2 linked regions of the Struthio camelus genome follow. The protein of the gene in region 2 interacts with the protein of the main gene of each other region in a pairwise test. Links are inferred from orthologs where the notes say so. Each region holds a gene or a part of one and is shown on either strand. Other genes may lie near its edges.

What was found. The genes of interacting proteins can lie anywhere in the genome.
Region 1: the proteins of cAMP-dependent protein kinase catalytic subunit alpha (region 2) and PRKAR2A interact in a protein complementation assay, tested with the Homo sapiens proteins (2 studies listed by BioGRID). The link is inferred for Struthio camelus from reciprocal best matches to the Homo sapiens genes PRKACA and PRKAR2A.

Annotation. Positions count from the first base shown.
Region 1 is NC_090955.1:10,250,253-10,257,314, forward strand, and holds the start of PRKAR2A (cAMP-dependent protein kinase type II-alpha regulatory subunit), read left to right. Parts: upstream 1-4,036; 5' UTR 4,037-4,210; coding exon 4,211-4,478; intron 4,479-7,062. UniProt on the Homo sapiens protein: Regulatory subunit of the cAMP-dependent protein kinases involved in cAMP signaling in cells. Type II regulatory chains mediate membrane association by binding to anchoring proteins, including the MAP2 kinase.
Region 2 is NC_090972.1:4,065,328-4,073,016, reverse strand, and holds the start of cAMP-dependent protein kinase catalytic subunit alpha, read left to right. Parts: upstream 1-4,613; 5' UTR 4,614-4,688; coding exon 4,689-4,734; intron 4,735-7,583; exon of another isoform or gene 7,584-7,689.

The DNA.
Region 1 (7,062 bases), on a different chromosome or scaffold from region 2:
GTTGGATACGTTTTACATCTGCATAGCATAAACTAGTTACCAGGCAGCTAAACATAGGAAAATGGCAAGCAGATCTGATTAAGAGGTCACAAATGCGATGCCTAACTTATTTGACTTTATCATGTTTTTTATACTTATTAATGTGGCCTTTGAATTATTTAATATTGGCTTAAAACTTCTTAATATGAACCATCCTGGTATAGGACAATGCATAAAAAATAGTACCTACAGTGTTAAGATGCTCTGGACCCTGACTAGATTAATTCATGAAGCTTAAGTGGGTCAGACCAAAGGGTACTCAAGCCCAATGATCTGTCCCAAGAGTGCTCACTAGCAGATGCTTAGAAAAGTGATATAAGAAACAGGGCAACTATAGATGATCTTTCCTTCTACCTGGAACCAACAGATAATTTAAAGCCAAAAGCTGCAGCCAATCTCTCAATTTCAAAGCCACTGCTGACTCTGTTCCTCATGAATTCTCACTTTTTGCTTCAACAGCATCCCACAGCAATGAATTCCACAATTCAGCAGGCAGGATTTCACTTTGTTTATAGAAGGCCCTAAAGCTGACTTTTACTCAGGACTGTTTTGGAATATATGTGTTTTAAAGGGCTTGCTAGCGTGTCACCTACGATAACACGCAAGAGCTATGCTCATGATAATAAATCCACCTACCCTTAAACAAGAGATTCTGTTTTCTAATATCAACCATCAGAATACTTAATGTGTTCTCACATTATCCTTGTGCTGAATTACTTGTAGTGAATTTGAAGGCAAACGTAATTAATCCAAGATGTACATATGTTGATATAGCATCTGAACTCTGGCTGGTGCTGACATGTTTATTGAGAAGTAAATTATTACCTGTTATAACAGGATTTATTTTACTTTTAAAGAGCCAGTCTGGAGGGTTAATCTGATTATGTTTCTCCAGTGCCAAGACTACGCAGACTATTTTGACATTTAACTTGCAACTTCACCTCTCCTCCTGGCAGGACAAACACTGAAGTTCCATCATAGTTTCACTAACTGTGCTCCAAAATTACATAAGACTGGCTAGGATAGGTAGAGTGAGGGGAAGAGGCCTCAACATTTAGGAGCATAAAAGCAAGAGTACAAGAAAAATATAGGAATAGTTCTCAGTTATTAAAAAAAAAAAAAAGAGAAAATATGATCCTAAAAATAATTGATGGAAATACTTTGGGGGCCAGATCCATCAGTCACTCAACTCTAATTCTATATCATGTGCTGAGTAAACCAGGGACCCAGTGGAGAAAAACAAGTGTTGGTCATGCTGTGTAAATTAAAGACATTATTATAGAGGGGACAAAATTAAGCCCGAAAATGCATTTCCTAATATCTTTTCTAGTATTATTTTAATGTGGGTGCTTATTATTATAATAATTAAAAAGCTAATGCAAACCTAGTGAGAAAGAAAAGCTTATGATGAGTTATATGTATGCACAGCATGCAGTATTACCATTAACTTGATCACAGACAAGTCTCTTGCATAAACGTGCCATCAATTCTGACTGTTACAAAACAAAAAGTATACAAAGAAATGTGACAAACTGTGGTATAAAACAGCTTGGAAATATGCTTCATGTGACCTTGGATGCTCTTTATTTTGTGCACTGACCTTCAGAGAGAGGCTGAACAGACCTTCACTGTTTATGTTCCTGTGAAGCTGATTAGTTACATGTGGACATATAAATATCAGAAGGCTAACACAATGTAGCTCTTCAGAGACTTAACAATATTTACTGGTAACACATTTTTTCATATAAATAACCAGATTTATATACACAGGCACAAATGAGAGAAAATTATCAACAAATGTTAAAAGCTGATACATGAGCTGAGTAATGCCAAAAGCAGGCAATTGTCAGGTGGCTGGCTGTTGTGCAAGAGACTGGGAAAGAAAAATAATTGTCTTCCCTTGCAATTGCCGATTCTCTTTCTTTCCTGACCCTACTTGCCAAAGCTTTCTGTTCTTTACGTTTATATTTTTTATTTTCTTTTTTCATTTTCACAGCATTTTTTAAATTCCATTTTTACCTCCTTACCAGCAATAACATCTTTGGCACCGAACTGGCAAAAGAAAGAAGATCTCATCAGAAATCTGAAATATATTTTTTGTGGAAACTAACAAAATATGGTTTTCTCATTGATCAAAACCATTTCCTTGTAACAGTTCCTTATCAGCAGATAAAGTATGCACATCGAGCAGGTGCAGCGTGCTCTGGTATTGTTTGAGACCATCAGAAAGATAGTAAGAGAGGGGTGACATGAAAAAGCAACAACTGTCATGAATTATCTTTCAAGAAAAGGAATATAGCTTGTTGTGCCTGCTGTAAAAAGCAACAGAAACGGAAACAGCTCCAGAATCCAGATAAATTGATGAGATGTGGCAAATCTACCTCCTATGATTGTTTCTAATTTGTTAATTTAGTATGGATAACAGAAAGTATGGATAACAGAAGTAACCTTACCCTACATAAAAATATGAGAACCATATTACAAAGAACATCTTGTAACAGAGACAGTGGGTGCCGAATAAGAGCCACAAAATTTCCCAGTGGCCCCTCTCACAGAAAATAGTCAGAAAAAGCTCTGAATACGGTGTTCTGGGATCCTCAGTTGTGCCCTTCATGCAACAGCGATGAACAGACTATCTTTGTATGGGAGTGTGGTAAGAACCATCTGGATATGTGATGGGACCTTTTGGCACATGAGCAAACAGAAACAAAACACACAGTAAATTGCCTCAGCCAATTCTGAGCTTGTAAATTAAAACTGTATTTTGAGTACATGTCAATTTCTGCCCTTTTATTGTTGAAACAAAAGAAGAATTAAATAAAAATATTTACACTGACAACATGCAGTGGCGTCACCAAGCCAACATCCCTGTTCCCTTCGACTCCTGTTTGTACAGGCCTGTTTCCTTCCAAGACTAGCTTTCCAACAACTCCAAATCTTAAGGGCGGATGGCTCCATGCCACACAGTGAGTAGTCTACCACTGGGCACCTGCCAAACCTTCCCTGCACATATAAACAGATAACAGCGCGAAGCGTGTACATTTTTTACAAGGAATATAAGCAACGATCTGAATAAAACTCATTTGCCAACATATGAACAGGCATCTCCATTGCTCACACATAGGAGCAATTGATGAAATACTTCACATTTCAGAAAAACTTCATCTTTACCACGCTCACATGTGCGGTATGAAGTAGATCAATGCCATTATCACCATGTCATGATGATGACACTGGGGCTTTATAAAGATTTTACCAAGAGGTACAAAGACCTGCTGACTCCTCTTGCGCTCGCTGCTTTTAAGAGTATTTATTAACTGAGTTATTCTGACGAGCAACTAGAGGGCTCAAAGAGGGCCAAAACCTAATCCCAGTCAAAACCAAAGAAAACCTCCTTCTTCCATCCCTGCTCTTTGGAAACATATACACCAACACTGAGGCTTTGCAGAAAGGAGAGGGGAAAGAAAATAAGTTAACATATGTGGTGACTAACCTGAAAAAAGCTGTAAAAAAACCTTCCTTACGCTATAAATACTTCTACATATTGAAGATGCCGGATGACGAGAAGCAAGAGTCTCCACCAGCTTCCACAGCCTGTATTTTCTCGTCACTACACAAAGCCCTTAGCTTCGTTCCGGGAATAACGTCAAAGTCAGATTCGCCAACACCACGCAAAGCCTCTTTGACGCTCCGCACGCTGCTGGCCGCCCGTTGCTCATGGCGCCGCGGCCGTTGGTGGCCTCGAGGCGCCGAGCACGAGCACGAGCACGAGCCCGCGCGCCCCGCGGCGCCTCAGGGTTCCCGCCAGAACGCCCGCCTCGCGCCTGCTCCCCTCGGCGCCGCGCCGCGCCTGCGCACTGCCCCGCCACCGCCCTCGCGCCCGCCGCCGCCGCCGCTCCCGCTCGCGCTCGCGCCGCGCCTCACTGTGACGCACGCGCTTCCCCCCTCGGCGCGTGCGCGGCCGCCGGCCCCGCGCTCGTGGCCGCGCCTGCGCAGCGCGGCGGCCGGGGCGCTCCCCTCCCCCCTCCCCTGCCTTCCCCTCCCCTCGGCGCGGCTGGCGTGACCGGAGCGGCGGGAGTCAGTCAGCGCCCCGCGAGGGAGGCCCGAGCCCGCCACCGCCACAGCGGCCGCGGCGGGAGGCGGCGGCGGCGGCCTCCGCACTCGCGGCGCCATGAGCATCGAGATCCCGCCGGGCCTCACGGAGCTGCTGCAGGGCTACACGGTGGAGGTGCTGCGGCACCGGCCGTCCGACCTCCTCGGCTTCGCCGCCGACTACTTCGCCCGCCTGCGGGATGCCCGCGACCAGGAGGCCGCGGCGGCGGCGGCCGGCGGCGGCGGCCGCAGGGGGGTCAACTTCGACGGGGAGCCCATGCAGACCGAGTCCAACGGCGAGGAGGAGCCCGAGCGCGGCGACGAGGACTCCGACTCCGACTTCGAGCGTGAGCGCCGGGCCGGGGGGCGGCGGCCGGGCCGGGTCGGGGGGGCGGCGGCGGGAGGGGGGGGGGGTCCCGGCCCCGGCCCCGGCCCCGGCCCCGGCCGAGTCTCGTCCGCCCGCCGCCGCCGCGGGATCCTGCCGCCGGGGCCCTCCGCAGGCTGCGGCTGTGCTGCGCTGCGGGGAGCCCGTGCGCCTGCAGCAGGGTTGTCCTCGGGGCGGGGGGGGGGGGGGCGGGGGGGGAGAAGCCTTTGCTCGGTCTGTTGGGCTCGTAGCGCCCGAAAGGAGAGACGCTTTCCCGGGGTGGGTGCCAGAAAGCAGATGTGCGGAGGTCCCCGAGTAACGGCCGAGCTCGTGCCCGGGGACTGAGCAGAGTTATCGGAGTGAAATGAGCGGACTGCTAGGCATGTGATAGGGGAAGATCATGTGTTATTGTGCAGTTTCTTCTGTACTTGCCCACAATGTTTTAAGGGCAGAAGTGGACAAGTGGATAAGGATACGTGTTCTTCATTGAAGTTGGGGATGAACTAAGTACTTCTTTTTTTTTTTCATTCCCAGTGTTGTTTGTTTAAAGCGCTGAGATAGCTTTTGGATGTGTTGCTAAAGAGCAACAATTCAAAACCACCTGTGTCCTTCTGTTTATGCTGCAGTTCTCTAAGATAGAAAAGATACTGGATATTTACCTGATCTGGACAATGAAACTCTACTTGTACATTTGTTTTCTGTCATAGTGAACAGTGTTTGGTGTGCAAAGCACAGTGTTTATAACTTGGAATTTTAATTGAGCTTCAAAGAGGAAAGTTGCATAAAACGTTTGTGAATTGTACTTCTTAACAAACTTGAAATTTTGGACCTGACGTTTCTGAATCTTCTCTCTTTAGTAGAAGGTAACTTAAGCGGGAAGGAAAGGTGAAAAGACGTGCTTTCCCTAAACTTTCAGTCCTTCATTTGGAGTTCTTATGCCCTTGATCTATAACATGAATAAAGGTTTATGACTTTAAATAGATAAAGGATACTTTTTCAGACCAATTACTGCATGTCACCCTGTGGATGTAGTGTGTTCTTATGTCTGTATTCTGGTTAATGGTTTTAAAGAAGCGAGAAGAAATTAAACTGTGGAACACATTGTTATTGTTATTAAGGAAACATTGAGAGACCAGCTATTGTTGCAACCCTTTTAGGCTGGGAACTTCACAGACTAAAATGCAGGTTCTACTCTCTTGAAAGTGTGCAGTCTGAACAGAATATGCAAATGTATCAGAGGACAAGAATAAAACATGCAAACAGGACGAATTATCTAGCAATCTGCATTTACTGTCTTTTTTTCCCTGCAAAGAAGGGAGTTCTGTTTAGGGCATGAAATAGGAAGAAGAAAGGCAGCAAAGAGGAGGAAAGTGAAATGGGCAGTGATTGTGGCTGGAGTTAAGTCAAGGAGATGTGCAAGAGTGAGCATGTATTTATGACAACCATTATGAGTTATTTTATCTTGCACCCAAGTTATCAATATTTTAAAGCATCTCTAAATATAAGTTATCTATATATAAATTGTTTCTTATAAAATAGATTATTTAAAATATAGTTCTAGAACGGGAGCAAATTGCAGTAAATAATTGAATGTCAATTTTTAAATGTATAATATTTCTGTAAATAGTATTTTTCTTAGAAGCCCTGGTGGAGGCTTTCTTTTGTTGTTGAATGCTAGTTTTCTATTTCTTGACCAATTTGTCTTGTTTTAAGGTTTGAAAGAACAGGGAAATGAATGTAAAGTTTTCCTGGTTAATGGTGGAAACTGCGGCTGAAAGGATCTTCTGAGCTTCAACATGTTCAGATGGAAATTTATAAACTTGGTGGTGGCAAACCACTTTTCAAATATAGCTCTATGTGGTGAGGCTGTCCAAAGCGTGCGCGTGGCTCCTTTGCTTCAAGTTTCTGTTCATCATCTTTTTATCTCAGATAGAAAATTAAAGAGACTCGTTGATGTCACTTGTGCTAGTCAGAGCCCTTGAGGCAAGTGGCACTGTCAGTAATACTATTTTGCTTCTGCTCTGAAAAAGTATGCTATTCCCTGCTTATCGTTTCAAAGACTTGGTAAAGGAATAGTGATATATATTTTGTGTAACAGCAGGCAAAAGTCTCTGCATAGGGTCATGAAATGATGTTTTTATCATGTTGTTTAACATTGGGGGGGGGAGCAGTCAACTATGGCGGCATGTCTTTTAAATTTCCGTCATAGCTGTTGTTGAAGAGGACTCTAGTAACCAGAGAATACTGAAGTCAGAGGCTCTAATATCTGTATCCTCTGTATGCTATCTAATATCTGTATCCTCTGTATGCTATCTGAAGATAGCAAAAATACACAAAATGAAAAAATCTCAGATGGTCCAACTGAACAGATCCTAACAGTGTTTTATTAAGATTGTATTTTTCTCATTTTGGATAACTTAGGATAGTTTTCAATTAATTTCACTTTGCTTTCCTAGTTTAATATTCTAGTTTTGAATTGAAAAGACTGAGGTCAAATGGATGTTTTAAAATATTTCCTCTGAAATTAAGAAAGAAAAGATAAAATGGTGATTTTTTTGTAAAATATT
Region 2 (7,689 bases):
CGGGAGCGAACTAAAAGCTCCGCCTCTCCAGACATTACGGTACCGGGAGGGGGGAGTCGCCCCCCCTCAGCGGCGGGAGCGATCTCGGGCCTCCGCCTCTCCAGACATTACGGTACCGGGAGGGGGCGTCGACCCCCCCTCACCGTGGCCGGAGCGGTCTCACGGCTCCGCCTCTCTAGACATTACGGTACCGGGGGTGCCCCCCCCCCCCACCCGGCCCCGCTGCTGCAGTGGGGGGGGGCGGTGCCCCCCCCGGTCCAGGGGCTGCGGGGGGGGAAGAGACCCCCTCCTCGAGCTGTCGGCCGGGGGGGCCGAAATAAGCCCCCCCATTGGAATATGCGCCCTCCCCGCTGCCCCCCCGCACTGCGCGCCCCTCCCATTGCAATCCCCCCCATTGCACAGGCCCCCCCCGCACTCCTGATGGCCGGGGGGGGCTCCATTCCCCGCTCCCCCGACTTGGCTAGCCCCCCCCCCGTTTTACACGGGTCCCCATGGCACGGAGGCCCCCCCCCGCATTGAACGACCCCCCCCTCTGGTTTTCATGCCCCCCGCCCCGCATCTCCCGGTGCTCCCCGGACAGCACGGTGCCCCCCCACTGCACGATGCCCTCCTCTATATTGCACGGCCCCCCCCACTTTGCATGACGCCCCCCGGTTTGCACGGCCCCCCCCCCGCACTGCACGGCCTCCCGGTCTGCTATGCGCCCCCCCCCGACATTGTACGCCCCGCATCGGCGCTGCCCCCCCTTATTGCACAGTGCCCCCCACCCGGTTTGCACGGTGCCCCCCCGGTTTGCACGGCGCCTTCCCCCTCATTGCACAATCCCCCCCCGCATTACACGCCCTGCACCGACGGTGCCCCCACCCGCTTTGCACGCCCCCCCCCGTATTGCATGATACCCCCCCCTCTTTGCACAGCCCCCCCCGCTCTGCACGGCGCCCCCCCCTCCCGCATTGCACACTGTCGCTCAACCCGCACGGGTCCCCGCATTGCACGCCCCGCACCGGCTGTCCCCCCCCCCCCGCATCGCACGACCCCCCCGGTCAGCACGGCGCCCCCCCCCCGCGATGCACGACCCCCCTCCTCTTTGCACATCCCCCCCGGGTCTACACGGCGCCCCCCCCGCATTGCACGCCCCCCCACCGGCTCTGCACGCCCCCCCCCGCCCCGGCGGCGCCCGTACCTGCGGGGGCGCGCGGGCCCGGGGGGGCAGCTCCATGCGGCGACGGCGCGGGCGGTGCGGGCGGCGCGGCCCCCCCCCCGGCAGCGCCACCCCCCCCCCCCGCGGCGAGCACCGCTCGCCCCGCCCCGCCCCGCCCGCGTCACTCACCGGGGGGCGGGGCGCCGCGCGGCCCCGCCCACAGGGCCGCCGGTACCGGGCGGGGGGGGCGGGTGTGAGGGGACCGTTATGGGGGGGGGGGGTGAGGAGACCGTTATGGTGGGGGCGGGTGTGAGGGGACCGTTATGGGGGAGGGGATGAGGGGACCGTTATGGGGGGGCGGGTGTGAGGGGACCGTTACAGGGGGGGATGAGGGGACCGTTATGGGGGGGCGGGTGTGAGGGGACCGTTATGGGAGAGGGGGTGAGGGGACTGTTATGGTGGGGGGATGAGGGGACCGTTATGGGGGCGGGTGTGAGGGGACCGTTATGGGGGGGATGAGGGGACCGTTATGGGGGGGGCGGGTGTGAGGGGACCGTTATGGGGGAGGGGGTGAGGGGACCGTTATGGGGGGGGCGGGTGTGAGGGGACCGTTACAGGGACCGTTATGGGGGGGATGAAGGGACCGTTATGGGGGGGCGGGTGTGAGGGGACCGTTATGGGGGGGGGCGGGTGTGAAGGGACCTTTACAGGGGGGGATGAGGGGACCGTTATGGGGGGGGCGGGTGTGAGGGGACCGTTACAGGGGGGGATGAAGGGACCGTTATGGGGGGGGCGGGTGTGAGGGGACCGTTACAGGGACCGTTATGGGGGGGATGTAGGGACCGTTATGGGGGGGCGGGTGTGAGGGGACCGTTATGGGGGGGGGGCGGGTGTGAAGGGACCTTTACAGGGGGGGATGAGGGGACCGTTATGGGGGGGGCGGGTGTGAGGGGACCGTTACAGGGACCGTTATGGGGGGGAGGATGAGGGGACCGTTACGGAGGAGGGAAGAGCATGAGGGTATCGTTAAAGGGGGGGGGCAATCACGTGAGGTGCCCGGTAACGTGGTGGGGGGAGGGTTTACCGTGTGAGGAAGCCGGTAACGGGGGCGGGAGGGGGGAGCGGTGCGGGGCAACAGCCTCTTCCCGCCCTGGCGGCAGGCAGAAAACCTGGTGCGGATTTGCCCCCGGGAGGGGAGCGGGGGTAAAACCCGGCCTGGATCTACCCCCTGGGAGGGGACTGGAGGGTAAATCCCGACCTGGATCCGCCCTGGGAGGGGAGCGGGGGTAAAACCCGGCCTGGATCTACCCCCTGGGAGGGGACTGGAGGGTAAATCCCGACCTGGATCCGCCCTGGGAGGGGAGCGGGGGTAAAACCCGGCCTGGATCCACCCTTGGGAATGGAGTGAGGGGCAAAACCTGGCCTGCCATTCACAGACAGCACGGAGGGGGCTGGATAGGGCGGGGGTCAAGGGTCACCCCGGTGTCACGGGCAGGCCCCGCCCCCTCCCCCGCCCGGAGTCCAGCCTGACTTACGGGAACGGGGGAGGGGCAGGCCCCCCCTCCTCCTTTGGGGGAGGGGGCTCAGATGTCCTGGCAGCCCCTGCCCCACCCGATGTACAGACACGCGCGTGAGCACAGACACGCACGCACATGTGAGCACGGCCAGCCACACGCCTGAGCAGGGCCTCGCACACGTGAGCACACGCGTGTACGTGTGTGAGCTGGCACACGCACACATATGTGAACACGGCCCTGTGCACGCACGAGCAGTGTCACGTGCACGCGCGCGCTCGCACTCATACCAGCGTGGTCACGGACACGTGAGCGCACTGCTGCACAGAAAAGGTCACGCATGTGCACACGCTCCCTCACACATGACCCCCATCATGCATGACATAGTCATGAAAACATATTTGCACGTGCGTGGGCGGATTGCCACACAGGCGTGTGTGCAATCACACGTGTGTCAGTGCAGCCACGTACGTGTGAGCAGGCTCTCACACGTGTGACCACCATCACACACATGTGCATGCAGCCATGCACGAGCAGGGTCACACGTGTAGGTCACATGTCCCCTGCCAGCAGGGGGGGATGAGGAAGAGCCCTGCTGCTGGCTATCATTAGCCCTGCTTATAATTAGCATATGCAAATGGCTTCACTGGGGAGGGGGGGTCTGTAGTCAACAATGGGGGAGGGGTAATTAGTGCCAGTAATTAGTGCAAGGCGAGAGCGGGAGTAGGCTGGGGGAGTGTGCAAGGGCCATGCGGGCAAGGAGCTCCCATGCAAGGCTGGGCTGTGAGCATCTGGGGCAAGTTTGTGAGGGCCAAGTGTGCAAGGAGCCCCGTGCAAGCTGGGTACAGAAGCAAGGGTAAGCGTGCAAGGGCTGAGTGTGCAAGGCGCCTGGTGCACCAGCACACAGGGAGCTGGCACAAGGGAGCAGCGTGCAAGGAGCTCTGGCGCAAAGCCGGAACGTGAGCGCGCACGATGGGCGTGCAAGGGCGGTGTGCCAGGAGCCCCCGTGCAAGGCTAGGCAGCCCCGGGGCGAGTGTGCAAGGGCCGCGTGTGCAAGGCCGGGCGCGCGCATGCGCGGGGAGCATGCGCGAACAGCGCCCGGGGCCCGGCGCCCGCTCATGGCGCATGCGCGTGTCGGGGCTGCGCCGCTCCGCACCGCGCCCCGGCCGCCATTCGCCCCGCCCCCTCGCCCTTCCCATTGGGCAGCCGCTTCCCTTCCACCCTCCCCATTGGCGGCCTGGAAGAGCCTGCCGATTGGCGGCGGCGCGCGAGCGGGAGGCGGGGAAGCGGCGGGCGCGCGCCTCTCCCGGCGGCGGCGGCGGCGGGCGGCGCGGGGATTGGCGGGGCGGGGCGGCGGGGGCGGGGCAAGGCGGTGCCGGCCACTACGGGAGCCGGGAAGCCCCGCCCTGCTGCCGGGGGCTGATGCAGGCTGGGGGTGGGGGTGCAGGCGCAGCCCCACGGTGAAACCCGGGCCGCCCCGCTCCCCTCGGGGCTCCTGGGCCCCAAACCCGACGGGGGGTGGGGCAAGAAGGTGGGGGAGGTGCGCCAAGCGGGGGGGGGGGAGGGACGCCTAGCCCCTCCCCCCACCCGCCTGGCCCTCCAAGCCCCTCCCCTCCCATCGCCCCGCCCCCGGTACCCAGCTGTCTCCACGCCCCTCCCCACTTACTGTCAATCACCGCTGGTCCCGCCCCCTCAGCTGACGCCCCGCCCCTCCCATGGACCTTCTCTCCCCCCCCGCCCCCAACCCTCCCGGGTTCTATTTTTAGCCCGCCGCAGCCAATGGGCGGCTGGCGGGGGCGGGCCGAGCGCCGGAGGGACGGGCCGGACAGCCAATGGAAGGCGGCGCGGCGGCGGCGGCCGGGCCCAATGGCTGCGGCGGGGCGGGCGCGCGAGGCGCGGCGTCAGAGGCGAGCGGCCAATGGGACGGCGCCGGCGGCGCGGCGGCGCCAATGGGCGGCGGGGGGCGGGGCGGGGCGGTCCGCCGGGGAGCGGGGCGGCCGGGCCGAGCCGAGCCGAGCCGAGCCGGGCCCGACATGGGCAACGCGGCCGCGGCCAAGAAGGGCGGCGAGCTGGAGAGCGGTGAGTACCGGCGCCGCGCCGCCCCGGGCCGGCCGCCCTCCCTCCCTCTCTCGGCGGGTACCGGGCGGAACCGGGCCGGGGGGAACCGGGCTCAGGTGGCAGCAGGCCGAGCCGGGCCGAACCGGGACAACCGGGCGAGGGTGGGCCGGGCCGAGCTGCGCCGGGGGGAACTGGGCCCGGCGGAACCGGGCTGGGCTGGACCGGGGAGGGGGATGAGCTGGAGGGGAACCGGGCGGGGCTGGGGGGGAACTGGGACCGGCGGAACCGAGTCGAGCTGGATCTGGCGGGACCGAGCTGGGACGAAGTGGGACCGGCGGAATCGAGACAGGCCGGACCATGAGGGGTGCCGGGCCCGGCGGAACCGGGTGGGACCGAGGGGATCTGAGTCGGGGGCAATTGGACCCGGGGGGCCCTAGGTTAGGCTGGACCGGGGAGGAGGGGCACCGGAACCGGCGGAAGCGGGCCGAGCTGGATCGGGGGCCACCGAGCTGAGGAGAACCGGGCCGGGCTGGAGCCGGGGGTGAAGCAGGCCGAACCGGGGGGGGGGACCAGGCTGAGCGCGGGTCAACCGGGGGTCACCGGGGGGGGGGGAGGAGGCCGAACCGGATCGGGGGGAGCCGAGCTGAACCGAGCTGGACTGGGCAGGGACCCCCGGGGTGGCGGGGGCGGATCCGGAGGGCACAGGGACCCTGGGGCAGTTTGCCCCGGGGGAGGGGGTTACGGTGGGGGGGCGGGGCTTGGCGGAAGGGGCGGGGCATGCCAGGGGTTGCCATGGGCGCGGGGGCGGGGCGCGCGGGGGCTGCCAGGGGCGCGGGGGCGGGGCGCGGGGAAGGGGCGGGGTACGTGGGCGTCGCCATGGGGACGGGGCGGAGGTGGGGGGGAAGGGGCGGGGCGCGCAGGGGTTGCCATGGGGACGGGGGCGGGGCACGTTGGGGGTTGCCATGGGGATGGGGCGGGGCCTGGGGAAAGGGGCGGGGCTCGGCAGGTGCAGCGGGGGCGGGGGGGTCTCTGGCGCCTCCTCCCGCCCCCACGCGGGTCCCGAGGTCAGCGGGGGGGCAGCCCGGACGCCTGGGTCCCCGGGGTGCTGGAGACACCAGCAGGCTTTGGGGGTCCAGGCGGGTGCTGGGGACGCTGGTCTGGGGGTACTGGGGGACACTGGGGACTTTGATCTGGGGGTCCAGGCGGGTGCTGGGGACGCTGGTCTGGGGGTATTGGGGGACACTGGGGACACTGGTCTGGGGGCCCAGGCGGGCGCTGGGGACGCTGGTCTGGGGGTATTGGGGGACACTGGGGACGCTGGTCTGGGGGCCCAGGCGGGCACTGGGGACGCTGGTCTGGGGGTATTGGGGGACACTGGGGACGCTGGTCTGGGGGCCCAGGCGGGCACTGGGGACGCTGGTCTGGGGGTATTGGGGGACACTGGGGACGCTGGTCTGGGGGCCCAGGCGGGTGCTGGGGACGCTGGTCTGGGGGTATTGGGGGACACTGGGGACGCTGGTCTGGGGGCCCAGGCGGGTGCTGGGGACGCTGGTCTGGGGATATTGGTGGACACTGGGGACGTTGATCTGGGGGTCCAGGTGGGTGCTGGGGACGCTGGTCTGGGAGTATTGGGGGACACTGGGGACACTGGTCTGGGGGCCCAGACGGGTGCTGGGGACGCTGGTCTGGGGGTATTGGGGGACACTGGGGACGTTGATCTGGGGGCCCAGGCGGGTGCTGGGGACGCTGGTCTGGGGGTATTGGGGGACACTGGGGACGCTGGTCTGGGGGCCCAGGCGGGTGCTGGGGACGCTGGTCTGGGGGTATTGGGGGACACTGGGGACGTTGATCTGGGGGCCCAGGCGGGCGCTGGTTCTGGGGATATTGGTGGACACTGGGGACGCTGGTCTGGGGATATTGGGGGACACTGGGGACGCTGGTCTGGGGGCCCAGGCGGGTGCTGGGGACGCTGGTTCTGGGGATATTGGTGGACACTGGGGACGCTGGTCTGGGGGTATTGGGGGACACTGGAGACACTGGTCTGGGGGCCCAGGCGGATGCTGGGGACGCTGGTTCTGGGGGTATTGGGGGACACTGGAGACACTGGTCTGGGGGCCCAGGCGGGCACTGGGGACGCTGGTTCTGGGGTATTGGGGGACACTAGGGATGCTGGTCTGGGGCCCCAGGCAGGTGGGTCCTGGGGATGCTGGTTCTGGGGATATTGGGGGACACTGGTCTGGGGGCCCAGGTGGATGCTAGGGACTCTAGTCTGGGGGTATTGGGGGGTACTGGGGACGTTGATCTGGGGGCCCAGGTGGGCGCTGGGGATGCTGATCTGGGAGTATTGGGGGACGGTGGGGACACTGGTCTGGGGGTATTGGGGCGCACTGGGAATATTGGTCTGGTGGCCCAGGCGGGTGCTGGGGACACTGGTCTGGGAGTATTGGAGGGTACTGGGGACGCTGGTCTGGGGGCCTAGGCAGGTCCTGGGGACACTGGTTTTGGGGGTCCTGGTGGACACTGGTTTTGGGGTCACGGTGGCCATTGGGGACACCAGCACTTTCTGGGGGTCCAGGGGGAACTGGGGACACCAGTTTCAGGGTCCCTGCAGGCACTGGGGACATCAGCAGGGCTTGTGCGTTCAGGGGACACTGATTTGGGGTCTTGGTGGCCACTGGGGACACCAGTTTGGGGGTCTGTGTGTCCCCCCGTGGCGGTGTCATGTCCCCCCGTGGCGGTGTCATGTCCCCCGATGGCACTGTCCTTAACAGCGGTGCCACATCCCCTAGAGTCCCTTGTTCCCCCCATATCGGGGCCGGTGGGGGCATGGGCCATACTGGTCCATACTGGGGGGGGGGTGTCCCCGTGGCCTGTCCCCGCCCGCGTCGCTGCCACCCCGGCCCCAGGGACAAAGTCTGCGCACCCCCCCCTCTCCCGGGGTCATCGCCCTGCGGCCGCCTCCTCCCGGACGCCTGG